Linked DNA regions of Alligator mississippiensis. The protein of the gene in region 1 purifies or fractionates together with the protein of each later gene. This does not show direct contact. Links are inferred from orthologs where the notes say so. Each region holds a gene or a part of one and is shown on either strand. Other genes may lie near its edges.

Region 1 (7,133 bases):
CACCTTCCAGGATCAAACAGCAAGGTTGAAAAGCAGCATAAAGTTAAGAAGCAGTATTTAATACCTCATAGGCCTTGCTAATTTGGATAAACTTATCTTCTGCTCCTGGATCCTTGTTTTTGTCGGGATGCCTACAATGCGAAAAGAAAATGAGAAAATGCATGTCATCCTCTAGGAAGTGATAGCAGCTTATCACAGGGAGTTGCACAACATGCCACAAAAGTAGGCTGCCTCGGCGTAATACTCATGCCAAATGGTATATGTAGATGTTAAAGACATTTAGTGGTATCCCCTGTTTAATCTGTCTGACATTTAAAGTAGATTTATGACAGGAGTCTGACCCCTGCCTCCCCCCACTTGGCTGAAGCACAAAGAATTTTAATGCCTGTTAGTTGTTTTAAACAATAGTATTAAATGGCCTCTTTTCTGCCTAGGTTCCCTGAGGACAGATGATAGATGCTGCAGTTCCGATGATAACTTTCCACATGTCGTACATCAGCTCTGCCCTTACATGTAAGGATACAAACTAGGATGTTGTGCAAACTAACGAATTTCCTTTGAAACGGGGCCAGCTTCCACTATGCATGCCATGAGTTGTACACAGAAGGCAGGGGAGGGAGCAAGGAGCATAGCTGCAGACTGGGTAAGGGAATGGGATTGGATTGGCATGCAGGGAGCATGCTGGCCTTCATTTGTGACATGCCTGCCAAAAAGATTGTCCCCCACTGCTTTAAAAGTACAATGCTCTAAATGCCCATGGAAAGCACCGGTGTGAGGTAGGTCGCATGCTGGCTTGTCTGTCTGTTTGGTGACATGTAAAGTCTCAAAACACATATACACATATATCAAAGGCAGTTTTAGTCAGAGATGGTATCAGACCAGTCTCTTCTCACTTGACTTCAATCTCCTAACTGCTTTTTAAAACTAAAGTTTAAGTGTGGATTATACTGGTATTTTTATTGTATGACACACATGTGCCAGAGCTTTTGCTTTATTTTTACCCAAAGCACAGCTTGATGAAGGTCACAGCTCGCTCGCTCTCATACTGATTTGATGAGTGTATGGATTAGCAACGTCTGCATCTAGTACTTTTAAACCTCTTCAAAGATTGATCTTAGGCTTGGTATTTAAGACTGTGTAAATTAAGTCTAGCACTGGCCTTACTGATCATCAGAAGGGGCTGTAACCTTCTCATCAGTAAAGTACCAGTGTTATCACCAAAAGTGAATGCTATACTCAATGTCAAAACTTGTTAATGTAATCCTATTATGTAAGGCATTAGATCTTAAATAAAAAATCACATCCTCCTGAAAACCTATTTCTAACTCCCTACTTCATTTCCAAGTGTTTAGCTGTCATAATCTTAAACACACACTGGAAACCTTCCAGTTAAATAAAACACACACACTTTAGTACCCCAATCGGTCCACTTGTGCATGTATGTCTAAGAGTACCAACATGCTTTCACTGTTTGCAGGATGAAGATCTTGGAAAAAGAAGACGGCTAGGTACAAGATGAACAAAAGTATACATTGTGAGTCTTAGAGTTTTCTTTCAATTCAGAAGTCTGTCTTCTAGGTGTATAGAAAACTTTACCTAAAGTCTGTCTTGATCAGAGTTCAAGTGTGTCCTGTTTTAAACAAAGTCCAGGAACTCTAATTACTTTGTTTAGGGAGCATTAAATAGATGCAATTAGAGACATTCACTTACAACCATCACCATCCTGCAACAACCCCTACGAAAGCCCCAAAGATAACAAAAGAAAATACATCTGTTCATACTCCGGATGATTTCACCAATAGATTATATTTCCCCCCCCCCCCATCTTATACAACATAAAATGTATCAGGCCTTCCAAAATCTAATACTCAACTACTCCTTGGTCCACGAATGTTAAGTTATAGGCCAAATTGGAACTTTGCATCTATAAAACCAAGGACCATGTCTCTTAATTTTTACTCTTGCAAGTAATCCTTTGTCCTATAGGGCAACAGTTCTCAACCTTTTTTTTTTTTTTTGTACCGGGACCCATTTGTAAACATGGAGGGCCAGTTCCGACCCAGTGTCCCCAGCCCCCCAGTGCATAGTACAGGGGGAGCCCCAAGCCACCCCTTCCAGGCTGGAGCTCTGCCTGCCTGCAAGGGAAAACCCAGTTTCCCATATTTTTTTCTCCTTTAAAGGAGAATCCATTTTTTTTTAAAGCTTGTCAATCCTTTTTTTAAAGTCTGCCCGTGACCCTTACACACACACACACACACACACACACACACACACACACACACACACACACACACACACACACACACTTTCCTCAACCCATGGGTTCATAGTTTCATAGTAGCTAGGGTCAGGAGGGACCTGAATGGATCATCTAGCCTGACCCCCTGCCACAAGCAGGAATGAAGGCTGGGTTCACAAGACCCCAGACAGGTGATCATCTAACTTCTTTTTTGAGTTTGCCCAAGGTAGGGGCGAGGACCACTTCCCTGGGAAGTTGGTTCCAGATTTTGGCCACCCTAACTGTAAAACATTGCCTTCTGATCTCCAACCTAAAACTATTCTCCATCAGCTTATGACCATTGTTCCTCATCACCCAGGTGGTGCTGGGGAGAAAAGGGCTCTGCCTATTTGTTGTCGATCCCCCCTGATGAGCTTGTAGGCAGCCACCAGGTCCCCCCTCAGCCTCCTCTTGCTGAGGCTGAACAGGTTCAGGTCCCTCCGTCTCTCCTCGTAGGGCCTGTCCTGCTGCCCTCTCACCAAGCGGGCGGCCTCCTCTGACCCCTCTCCAGGCTGGCCACATCCCTCCTGAAGTGCGGCGCCCAATACTGGACGCAGTACTCCAACTGCGGCCTGACCAAAGTCACATAGAGGGGGAGGATCACCTCTCTGCACCAGCTCGAGATGCACCTTTGGATGCGTGACAAGGTCTGGCTGGCCTTGCTGGCTGCGGTCTGGCATTGTTCATCTTGGAGTCAATAATGACTCTGAGATCCCTTTCTGCCTCTGTGCTTTCAAGAGGGGAACTCCCCAGCCTGTCTGTGTGCTGTGGATGCCTTCCCCCCAGGTGCAGCACCCTGCATTTGTCTACACTGAACCCCATCCTATCCTCATCCACCCATTTTTGTAGTCTGTCTAAATCTGTTGTGATGCAGAAGTAGGTGGCAAGAATAAACATCTTTCATATAATCACCCTAATCGGGGAGCCCGCGACTTGCGGCGTTTCGCCATTTACACCCACGTCATTACTCACGGCGCTGGATCCTCGCACTTACGGCACTACAGGGAAACTTTCAATGAGAAAAAAAAAAAGGGGCAGCAAAAAAAACCATCCCTGGATCAGTTTCTCAAAAAGCCGTCGAGTGGCTCCAAGTCTCCCCAAAATCTCCCCCAAAAAGCCCTTCTGAACGCCGTGACCCTGACGAAGACGTTCCTTCACCTTCTGTTTAAATACAATTTTACGTGATGCGTTACTGTACTGCCCTGTTTAATCGATTTGTATCCAGCGCACTTCAGGAAGCGTGGTACTGTCCATTTCAATAGGGTGTTTATGGTCATTTCTACAAAACCGTACGATAATATATTCTTGCCCCCTACTTTTGCACCATAGGGTGAATAGATGAAAGATATATATATATATATATATTTCTGGAAGCAAGACCAGCCTCAGCTCCATCATTTGCCTCAAACCGCAATGACGGGACAGCGGTGCTCAGCCCCCTGTGAGGGGCCGATCCCGGGGGGGGGGGGGGGGGGACGACGGGACGTACCACTCCCGGGCGAGGCGCTTGTAGGCCTTCTTGATGTCGGCAGCGCCGGCGGCGCGGCCCAGGCCCAGCACGCGGTACGGGTCGAAGTCGGCGGCCCACGGGCCCGGCAGGGCCAGCGCCAGCACCAGCACCGCCGCCGCGGCCGCGCGCAGCACCCTCGGCTCCATGGGCCCGGCCCGGATGAGACCCGCCGCCGCTTCCGGCTTCCCGCCCCGCCCCTCGCGTCACCATGGACACGGCACGCTCACTTCCGCTCGGGGGGGGGGTGTGTGGAATCCGCGCGCGGGGCATGCTGGGGTGCAGGAGGCCGGATGTGCGGCGCGGCGACGTCACATCCGGGCGATGGAAGCCGAGCAGCGGCAGCGCTTGCAGCGGGGTCGCGTGCGGCTGGTGCGGGGCCTGCAGCTGGAGGCGCTGTGGGGGCCGCTGGTGCGGGACGGCGTCTTCTCCCGCGACATGCTCGACGACATCCAGGTGCCGGCAGCCTCCCTCCCTCCGCTCCGCTCCGCTCCCCGCTGCTTGGAAATGCTGGCTTCTGGGCCCGGGGTGCAAATCAATCGTGTCCCCTGCCTTACAGAGAGCAGGCTCTCCGAGAGACCAAGCCAGGCAGTTACTGATAGACCTCGAGACCCGCGGGAAGCAAGCTTTTCCTACCTTTGTTTCCATCCTACGCGAAACCGGACAGAAAGACCTGGCGGATTTCCTGAGTGAAGGATGCGCTTTCCCGCGGCCGTCCTCAATTGACATAAAACCCATTGAAATCGGGCCGCGTGGCGGAAGGGGCCGTGCAGGTAAGTGTCGATGCGACCGCCGTAACGAGCAGCAAAACACAGCGTTCGTAAGCCCTCTTGCTGTGGCGGTACCGGAGAGCGGCTAGTGGCCTGTTCGATGCGATAGCCCGTCTGTCATCCAGAATCGGGTGTCAGCCCGCGCAGCGTTTGGGAAAGGGCAGCGCGGTTCGGCGTTACTCACGAGTTTTATCTGCAGCTACGTCCCAGGAACTTGAGATGGATGTTCTTGCATACAAGTTCTTGATTGATGTTATATTGCATGTAATCTCTCTGGCGCCTCACATCTGAAGTCTGAGGGCATATGTTTCTCTCTGCATCAGGAAGACGCTGTTTGCCTTGATTTAAAGAAGGGATTAGACCTCAGATCTGGGTTCCGTTCCTAGGCCGGTGGCTGTTGGAGAGCCATAAAGCTCATAGTTTTCTCTGCTGCAACATGGGGATAAAGCTTATCTATCTGGCAAAAGACATACCAGGCAAAGCTAAAATACAAGGCATGTTTTAGCTTTGCCTCGTATGTCTTTTGCCAGATAGAATTAGACATTTTGATTATCTATCTGAATTAGACATACGAGGCAAAGCCAAAAGACATACGAGGCAAAGCTAAAGTTTTCCTTGAAGGAAAGGAACTATAAATGCACAAAACATCTGTAATTCGAGGACCAGTGCTGTTTTTTTGTCAGAGATCTGTGTTGTCGGTTGGGTAGCTGGTTCTATTAACAGCTTACTTTTCATTTTCAGGTTCCCTTTGTTGCCCCTTATTTTATAGCGTGCTCTAAGTGTTGCTGGTTGTTTCACCAAACCCTTAAAGGCATTGCTTAGTCTTAAATGGATAGATCATGCCTTGCAGAATAGTTGAGATGTTGCAAAGATATTTGGCTTAGGGGAAGTCAGTGAGAGAAAGACGAGCATTTGCAGGAAGGAGGTGGCCTTGGAAGGCTATTTGCAGAATAATTGGTGGCCAGAAAGATGCATGTTGCAGTTAAGAAGGGGAAGGACAGGTGCTGGGTTCAGCTGGGGGGGGGTATAGGGGAGGGTCAGATGGAGTTTTAGGGAAGAAAGAAGTGGAGAGGCATCTTTCTGAATGGACTAGCCTTTTCAGGATGCTTGATTTCTTTAGGGTACGCACAGGAGAAGTTGCTGTCTATAAGCACAGCCCAGGAAGAAAGGAACAGTAGTGAAAACACTTGGCTCACAATTCCCACCCAGATCACTGCACAGTCTTGTTCTAGTTTCATCTCATGCCATATCATTAACAACAGGGACTGAGCCCTACAGTGAAAGGATATAAATGATACCTAGCACCCAGGCAGTAGGGCAAGATATTCAATTGCCTGCAACAAGCAGTGCTCCAAACAACTCCAGAGACAGCCTGCTGTCTGCTTCACACACCCTACCTCTGACAGGAACCTGGAGGAAGAGGGGTACTTCAAATGTCCTGTGCCTTTTCAGGTGGGAGAGACTCTGAGTATTTGCCTCTGCCAGTCCAAGCCAGGACTGAGAGAGACCAAGAATTGGACCATCCTGGTACAGTGGCTCACAGTAAGTAGTCTCTTGGTAGGTAAGACCTAAGTCCTGGCAGTTTCTCTGTCCTTCCCCTGCTTCTCTGAGGAAGCCCTTGACCACCTATCCCTCTGGGAGTCTCACAGTATTTTTCATGTTGGGTTAATCTCCCTGAATGCCATGCTGCCTGGAACACGTGAGAATTGTATAACTGGAAGACATTATAGAAATACAAAATGCACCTTTTGCTCCACTCTTCCCTTTCCCTGTAGCTTTCTCTATACGTGCTGGGCTTCCCTGTACCTTACTGTTCAGGCATCACTGCTGAACAGTGATTTTTTTTTTTTCCCCCTGTGTGCAGTGAAGGGACAGCAAATCTGCTGCTTTTCCCTGCGAAGCTTGTACCTGCATGTCTCCTCTTCAGGCCATAGTGTTGGTACACATCATGAGCTGTTGTCTTGGGATCTTCCTACAAGCTCAAAACAGCTAGAGAGGAATAAAAGGGGGTTAAAACAAAGGCTTTCTCATGTTGGCTCCAACAGGGAAAGACGTAATTAACAGAAGGGATCTCATCAGAAAGACACATGGATGCCATGCCATGGCATTATTGGTTTTAAGATGCAGTATAACAAATGTGAGCCAATGTTTGTGTTGGTATTAATGCTGTGAATCTAAGTCCAAGCCTCTTGCTAATGAGTTGCAGGTGCTTGCTTGGAGCTGAATGTCAGGTCTGTGTGTTGCAGGTGCTGCTGCAGACAGGTTCAGACAGAACTCCGATATGGTCAGTGTCCTTTTTCTGTGCATCTTTTTCTTGCTTGTGTCCTCTCTGAGCTGTCCAGTGCCAGCTCCTGTCGCATCCACCTGATGCCCCATTTTCAAAAGGGAATCAGGCATTTCTAAGCCTAAGGCTCATTGACAATCCAAAGGGCTTTGGTCCAGATTGTTAAGGGGATTTAAGAGCATAGATCCAGTGGTAGTGAAGTGCTCAAATACCTTTAACAGTTAGCAGAGGGAGCTGACCCCAAGGCTCATCTAGCATCTCTATCCACTGTGACGATGGTCCACTAAGAGGTAT
Region 2 (7,851 bases), on another chromosome or scaffold:
CAGGCACTAGGATGGAGGACAGGTACCAGGAGGTGCAGGCATGAGGAGTTAACTACCAGGAGAGAAGGGGAGCAGGTACTTGCACACACAGGCATGGGGGCCAGGCATCAGGGGGACAAGTGGGGGGGGGATGGGTGGCAGGAAGCAAGGTGCAGGTGGGCAAGGGGCTGCTTAATTACCCCCACTGCCTCCCCAATACTGGCTCCCCCAGCACCTGCTCCCAAGAATTATATTTGATACATGGAAAATTTTAACAAATTTATAATTTTCCCAGGTATAGAATGTAATTATTCAAGGGTTGCCTTAAATTCAGAGTCATCTTGGATTTGAGTAAATTTAGTATGTGATTCCACTTCCAGGAGAATTAGGTGGGTGACAGGCAAGTAAGTTGCAAGAGATCCCTCTGGTTTCTCAAGTACTGGTAAGGTTTTCATTACCATAGAGATCTCAGTCTGACCTAAAGCAGGACACGATCTACTTTTATAAGGCAGTGACTGCATACATGTGCTGGTTCATAGATTATATTGAACGATTCTTGCCTTAAATGTTAATGAATTAGAAAGTCAAAGTTGCAGTAGAGTAGCAGTGAGTGTCCTTCACATAGGTTTGAACTGGGATCTACATCCAAACTTCTCCAAATTTCAGAGAAATTTAACGATGAAGACAGAGATGTTACTTTTGGCCTCTCATAGATGCAGGCTAAAATCAGATGTTTCATACCTCTAAATCAGGGGTGGGCAAAATGCGGCCTGTGGGCCAGATGCGGCTCACCAGGCCATTCTATCCAGCCTATGGGGCCCCTAAAAAAATAAGAAAATTAATATTTATCTGCCCCCAACTGCCTGTCATGCGGCCCTTGATGGCTTGCCAAAACTCAGTAAGTGACCCTCTGTCCGAAATAATTGCCCTCCCCTGCTCTAAATAAAACCATGTCCTGTTCTCACTGTTCTCACGTATGCTTAAAGGATCTCTCTTTCATTAACAATGACCTCTGTTCCTATATCGAAGTTGAGCCTTATGTTGCTTTTGCGTGACAGCAGATTGAGGCGTGTAGAGTCATAGGTTTGAGAGGGACTGCATGTCATCCAGTCCAATGTCCTGTGCAGATGTAGAATCAAGGGTGCAAGATACAGAAATGTCGAATTCTGTTAGTGTCACCTGTATGAATGAAAGACACGCCATGCTGGTCAGGCCATGTATCCATCTAGCCAAGTATCCTGTCATTGTCAGTGGCAAGTAATAGATACTTTAGGGAAAGAATATAAGGAACAGGGCATGTGTAGACTGATCCATTTCCTGTCCAGCTCTTCCAGCCATGCTGATCTATCTAGCAATGGCAGCCACACATGACTTCAGCACTAGATTTCCAAATGTTTCTCAAAATTGGGGCCAGAATTTCAAAAAGACTCAACCAGTGTGCAGCTTAACGTTTTTGCAAATCTGATCCAGCTTGGACCAGAGCACTTTTGAAACCCTGACTCCTACCTAAAACCATAGACTTTCAGTTTATATTATTTGTTGGTCTGTGTCTTTTCTGAGATGTTACCTGTCTATACAGCTTCTTAGGGTGCTAGGTAACCCTCCCCCCCTCCCTTTTGAAGTCCATGTCTTTTGAAACTGCTTATGCTGAAGGTACTGTGGCAGATCCTTAGCTGGAGTAACTTCTTTTACCTCTGCTATTCCTGTATTTCTTTGCAAAGAAACAGCACATGGCCTCACTGGTTTGTCAGAGTCCCCTATCTAGTTTCTGTGAGAAGAACACAATGTTATGAACAGTTCAATCCTGCTAACACAAAATTATTTATTCCCTATTAGGTGAATTATATGTTTGCTTTTGAGCACAGGTATTGGATATCACATGGGCAAGGTGTGCAAAAGTACAACCACAATTTGGCCCCCAGTTTGGTGTTTAGTTTTGTAGGGTGAATGGGATAGCCAAGGAAATATTTAAGAGGCAGCAGAAAATATGAGAGTGGAAATGTAAGCAATGTAGTAGGTTTTGGAGTCATCCACACAAGGGTCATAGCTGAAGGCATTGGGATGGGACTTTCCATAAAAACAGAGAGAAAGGAGATAAACAAATGGAAGAGATTTGAAGAAAGTCAGAAGGTAAGGGGAGAAAAATGACCACATGGTGAAGGACCAATAAGCAAGGTAACAGCAAAACCAAAAAAGTAGAGCATCATATAGAGTAGAGCATCTTGGGATCATAGGCTTGGAAGGGACCTCATGGGTCATCTCTTCCAAGTCCCTTTTTGGTGAACTCCATATTGTTTTTGAATTCATAAAATGAATTGTCTTCAGTTGCTCCTATGGGAAGTCTTCTGAGACAAATGTCCTCCTAGCTCAATAGATAGAACTTCAGTATTATAGATCTCCTTGTGACATAGCTGATGTCTTCATTGAGGCTGTTAGTTACTCACAGACCCTGCAGCTCCTGGCTTTCCCACTTTTCAGACTAAGGATAAAGCTTGTACTGTGGTGTCACCATGCAGAGCCTACCTCTGTTTGACTTGGATTAAATATTCATAGGAAGGATCACTGGATGCATTACATCAGAATCAGTCCACTTCATTTTTCTTTCCATCTTCCCCAAAAAGGATGAGTAATGAAGCAGCTTCTAGAACAGGCATGGTGAACCCGCCATGCATGTCTTGAGTGGTACAGGCAGCTGCTGCGTGTGGCACATGAGTCCTGGGCACTCAATAAACAGGGGCACCAGAATAGAGGTAGAGTGGCTCAAGTCTGTGACCAAGTGGAGCAGAAGGAGAACAGGACACTGCTATGAGAGGAAGTGTTGGGTGTGATTGCCAAGAGCCAGATTAACCCTCCCCTGGCTTTGCAGCCACCGCTGAATTAAGGACTTTGGATCATTGCTAAAACTATGGTGGTTTTGGAACCAGGGGATGGTTAACTGACTTTTGGTGGTGACATCTCCTCTCACCGCAGTGTTCTGCTCCCTGTGTTGCAGACTCAAACCCCACCATTTCCATTTGATATGGGAAGGTACAAAGTCTATCAAGTACACCTCAAGAGGGTGGGGATCAGAACAGCACTTAGGGCAGGAGAAGGGCTTAGCTTGAGCCACAACTCCCCCCAAAGAGATTGACCACCACTGCTTTACTTTATGAAAGCAAAACAACTAGAGCTCATAAACAGCTGGTAGAAAATTAGAACCAATTCAAAATAACGTTGAGAAGGTCTGACCTTGCTGCACATGAAAGGTATTTAAGGTCTGTATCTTATTTTTCTATTCTATTGTATGGGATTTAAAACTCCTATGGGAATTTTGTCCAAGTAAGGACACCAGGACTAGGAATGTCATGCAGGACAGTTCTTGAGAAGTGCTTTTTTAGATAAACAGCCACCAAAAAAGAGGATCAGACCTTTGTTAACATTTCATCAGAAGGCCTCCACTTTATGACTAAATACAGACAATCAAAATCTTCTCAAGTTAGTCTAAGCTGTGTAGCTTGAACTGATAAGGAAAGCGAACAGGCACATACTTTTGATCCATAAATGCAGCCACATGCCTGCAGTGGCCCAGGCCAGAAGCCAGGGAGCATTAGAGCAAAGCTTCCTGCTGGAGTAGAGCAGACGGTTTGGACCAAAGTATTGTGGGATGCTGGGGGACTTTGAGTTAACTTGAATCTGGAGGGGATATGGGACAGAAGTTCAATAAACTGATTTAACCTAAATCAGTTAAGTTTGAGATTATATCCATCTAGGTTTATCTCAAACAAGTTTTGGCCATTTTGAAAGGAGTTTATGTGCATTGAACTTCTGTTGTATTACAGATTTGGACTGGTTTCCGATCACTTATACCGGTTATGTGTAATTTCTTCCCCTAGCCTATAACTACATAACATCCTCTCTTGAGTAAATGCATGTCATCCTTTATAGGTCTATAGTTCTTTATAGTTCTAGCAGCAGGCATCTCAGTGCCCGGTGAGATGCCTGCAGCAGGCATCTGAGATTATAAAGTGCTGTGGAGCACCCTTTGGAGCTCTTTTCCATTTAAAAAGGACAAAGTTGTGAGTCAAATTGTGAAAGATGATGACTCAGTATATTTGTGCAGCTCTTCTGGGGGATAGTTGATCAAGGCAACAATTAACGAGAGGCTGAGGACTAGAATAAATCAACTGGTTATTTGACCCATGCTGTGCTAAAGCATGTGCTGCAGAATAAAATAATACTAGGAGCATAACATTACCATTGCCCACGCTTGTATTTTTTTTATCACAAGACTTGTGATAGTTTGGTGTCTTGTATATAATGTCACCTTCCAGACTCACAGCTTTTTCGTGCAAATGTTGGCTTTTATTTTACATGGAACGTTTCCATCTCATGATTGCAAAAAAATAGATGTGGAAAAAAGTGGATATTAAAATCTCAAGATCCAAAAGATAAATAAAAAAGAGATCCAAGTTTCTTAGTAACCAAAAGGCTTTTATATAAAATTAAATTATACTTTTTTTTTAGATGCCAAGCTCCTGACTTCTGAATGCTTTAGATTTGCAGCGTGTGTGTGTGTGTAAAATAGCATGTTCTGATTACTGATTTAAATAACTGTCAGTGCAGGTCAAATTCACAGGAGCACGTGAAACAAATCAACCAAGCCCTCTGCAATCCTAAACTAGGGAGCTTTGCAGTGACAGGAGCAAGAGCAATATAAAGTGGGGAAATGCATTGTATTAATTAGCTCCATTGAGGAAAAGTTACTTCCCAGGCTTTGCCTACAGAGGGCATCCCAGCTCATTCATATGTAGACTCAGCAAATATAGCGGCTGAAGGCAGCCGGGCTCAGTCAGTTCTTTTTTCCCCCCTTCCAGTGGAATCTTTTTCCCTGATCCAGTTGGTTTCTCTCCGCTCTCCACGTTTTCCCTTCCAGCCCTCCACTTCTTCGGATCAATGGATGTTACAGCTCTAACTCCCATCTCACATACTGCTGGTGGACAGCTCCAGTAACAAGTGAGAGCTTTACATCCTTTTCTCTCCCTCTCTCTTTTTTCCCCCCTCATCAACATCTGTCAAGAAGGAGGAAAATCACGAGCTCTTTTGTTTTCTCCCGACTTTTTCTCTCTCTTTTTTTTTTTGGTACTTTAACGCAGTGATGGAAACGGACCAGCCCCCCGTCATCTGATGCACCCTGGACAGCTATTTTTTGTCAGGATTTTTCTATGTATGGTTTTCCAACAGTGGGAAGATCCTTCCCCATCCTTCCCTTTTTTCCTTGAGTTAGTTTCCTGACACATTCTGGAGGCTTGGAGGCTGCTGGACTGAATGTAACTTTTTTTTCCTTCCCCCCCTCCCTCCTTTTCCCTCTGCTGATTCCCGTCAGCAGGGACTGAAAAAGAAAAAAAAGAAAAAAGGAAAAAAACAGAAGAGAAGGAGGCAGAAGGGGCTGTGTGTGCGTGTGTTTTGTTGTTGCTGGTGCTCAGGACCCAAATCTCTGTAGGTGTGTGTTGAAATATGGAGAATAGTCTTGGATGTGTTTGGGTACCAAAGCTGGCTTTTCTACTCTTCGGGTTTTCTCTGATCAGCCTGCATCTTCAAGTCACCGGTAAGTCATCTCTGCCTTATTTGCTTCTGCACTACACAGATAATGGGTGGATTTTGTCGAACCTGAAGGAATGTGCCCATTTCTCATGTGCTAACAGACTTTGTTTTTCCACCCCCTCCACTCTCGATTTGGTTTTTGTTGTTCGTCAGGGTAAGCTCTTGCAAGTACTTGACATAGATTTGAAGAGAGAGAGAGAGAATTGGGCTGAGAAGCACCTTGTGTAGCCTTTGAAAAAAGGAGAGCCACTAAAAGGAAGGAAACCCATAAAAATAAAGGAGAAATGTGGGAGGACGTAGCAGTAGTGTGTGTGTGCGTGCGTGCGTGTGTGTATGGAGGGGATGGTTCATATTCTTTTTTGCACCTAATTCCTCTTGCTATTGGATATATTTGCCAGTAGCCTTTGGGATCTTTAGGCTGAGATTGAGGGGAAGGGATATTTTGAGAGGGGGAAGGAGCGTGGAAAGGGAAATGAAGAAAACCGAAATACTAGTTGAGGGGACAGAAAATGCAGTTCTCTCTGAAGCCCCTCCAAACTCCTTTTGATTGATATTCTTTGGGGTTGTCTCTCTTGCACTTGGCAGGCACATTTTCTAATTAAAAATGGCAAAGCCAATTGTGTATTGAATTGGAATAGAGAAGGAAAGAGGGGGAAATGATACAGTGATGCTGAGGGGCCATCTATGCAGGAGATGGAGCAGAGCTGGGAATTTGAGATTTCTTTAAAAAAAAAATGAAACAGCAGCCTTATCCAAGAAGTGTTAGGAACTAAAAAAGTGCAGTGTTGATTTGTAGGTGGCTAGGAGTGTGAGAGCATGGGGGTAATGGTGAGGAGAGGCGGGGGGAAATGTGTGCGAAGAAATATTATTCTCCAGTGATCATTGGATTTGTCTCCCAAAGAAAATGAGCAGTGTTTCATTAGGAGGGATCTCAGGAAGAGAGAAGCCACGAACTGCAACAATAAAATAAACACACATGCATACAAATTGCTATCACACCAACTACTGATGAACAATAGAAGCGGCCCCCCCCAACACACACACAGTCACACACATGCACACGGACACTACTAAAGCAGCTTTTTGTAATGGGGAAAGTGCTGCAGATGAAGCCTTTGCAAAAAGATCTTCACTCTGTTGTAGCATCATTCAGGTTGTCAGCTGTATGCTAATGGAAATGCCTTAAATTGTTTGTGTAGATGAGGTTCCTTTTTCCAAAAAAATGTTTCATTTTTTTTGGGGGGGGGGGGTCTTTTTTGTGTGTGTGAGGGCTAACAAGTGAACTGGAAGATGCTTCTATTAAATACAAGGAGGCTCATTTGTGTGTGACTGCATGTGTGCAATGTGCATGTCTCTCTCAGCATTGTCCTCTGCAATTACTTGTATGGAAGGTGGGACCTGGCAATCAGAGCAGGATAATGAATAGGTGTCTCTCTTGAATTTGCAGCTTAAAGGCTAGTAGATGGGAGACATGTCAATGATCCTCCTTCTTGAAAGATGATTGACTTGCAGGCTTCTTTCCTGACATACAGTGAGATGGAGAGTGTGTGTGTGTGAGGACGGGAGTGAAGAAAGCCCTATACTGTATGGAGGGCCAAACCCACACTGCAAACAAGCTGCCTTCCTGGTACAGAGGGGAGTGGTGTCTGCTGCTATTATGCAGAAAAGTAATTATAGGAGCAGGTTGTTTCCTAGCTGGGCATTTTATTTGTGCATATGTTGCTACCTTTTTGTAGCATGTATTTGTTCATCACGCTGCGTTTGGAGCCATGAATCTGTACGTTGCAGCAAGTTCCCTGGCCTGTGCTTTGCTTTGCAAGCTAGAATTCTGCAAAGTTTTTCTTGTGTTGAACCTCTGGATCTTTTCTGAGGTGTCACTCCTCAAAGATGTGGTTATTTTAAGTCCCATTTTATAACCTGGATTCAGCTGACAAAATAAAAAAGACCTTGCACCTTTAAGGTAATGCTGTTCAAATGTCTTTGGCTTCTGCTCATTAATCTCTGAATTTCCACTCCACCTCTTAGCAGCTTTTTTCTCCCTTCAGAAACCTAGCAGGGGATTGATAGTAAAGAAAGCATAATTCACTCTCTGAAAGGACCAGTAGGAGGTGCCCTTAATAAGGCCAAGTAACTGGTTTGCTGCTTGGCAAAATTCCCATTCAGCAGGGCATTTAAAGACTTTGTTGACTGGTAACAAAGGGCTTATAGAGATGCAACACAATGGGGCTGTGTCCTTTCACACTTCCTCACTAAAGCCCAAAGCTGGTTTGGAGATGTAAGAATTTGTTTAAA

Evidence for each region. The genes of interacting proteins can lie anywhere in the genome.
Region 2: the proteins of CASP9 (region 1) and DCC purify together in Homo sapiens (co-immunoprecipitation; 3 studies listed by BioGRID and IntAct, with this or other methods). This does not show direct contact. The link is inferred for Alligator mississippiensis from reciprocal best matches to the Homo sapiens genes CASP9 and DCC.

The regions. Positions count from the first base shown.
Region 1 is NC_081836.1:5,599,395-5,606,527, forward strand, and holds the start of CASP9 (caspase-9), read left to right. Parts: upstream 1-4,089; 5' UTR 4,090-4,109; coding exon 4,110-4,241; intron 4,242-4,344; coding exon 4,345-4,558; intron 4,559-6,007; coding exon 6,008-6,097; intron 6,098-6,786; coding exon 6,787-6,839; intron 6,840-7,133. Other genes in the region: DNAJC16 (dnaJ homolog subfamily C member 16), read right to left, coding at 65-131, 3,768-3,934. UniProt on the Homo sapiens protein: Involved in the activation cascade of caspases responsible for apoptosis execution. Binding of caspase-9 to Apaf-1 leads to activation of the protease which then cleaves and activates effector caspases caspase-3 (CASP3) or caspase-7 (CASP7).
Region 2 is NC_081826.1:287,262,730-287,270,580, reverse strand, and holds the start of DCC (netrin receptor DCC), read left to right. Parts: upstream 1-4,849; 5' UTR 4,850-5,472; coding exon 5,473-5,563; intron 5,564-7,851. UniProt on the Homo sapiens protein: Receptor for netrin required for axon guidance. Mediates axon attraction of neuronal growth cones in the developing nervous system upon ligand binding. Its association with UNC5 proteins may trigger signaling for axon repulsion.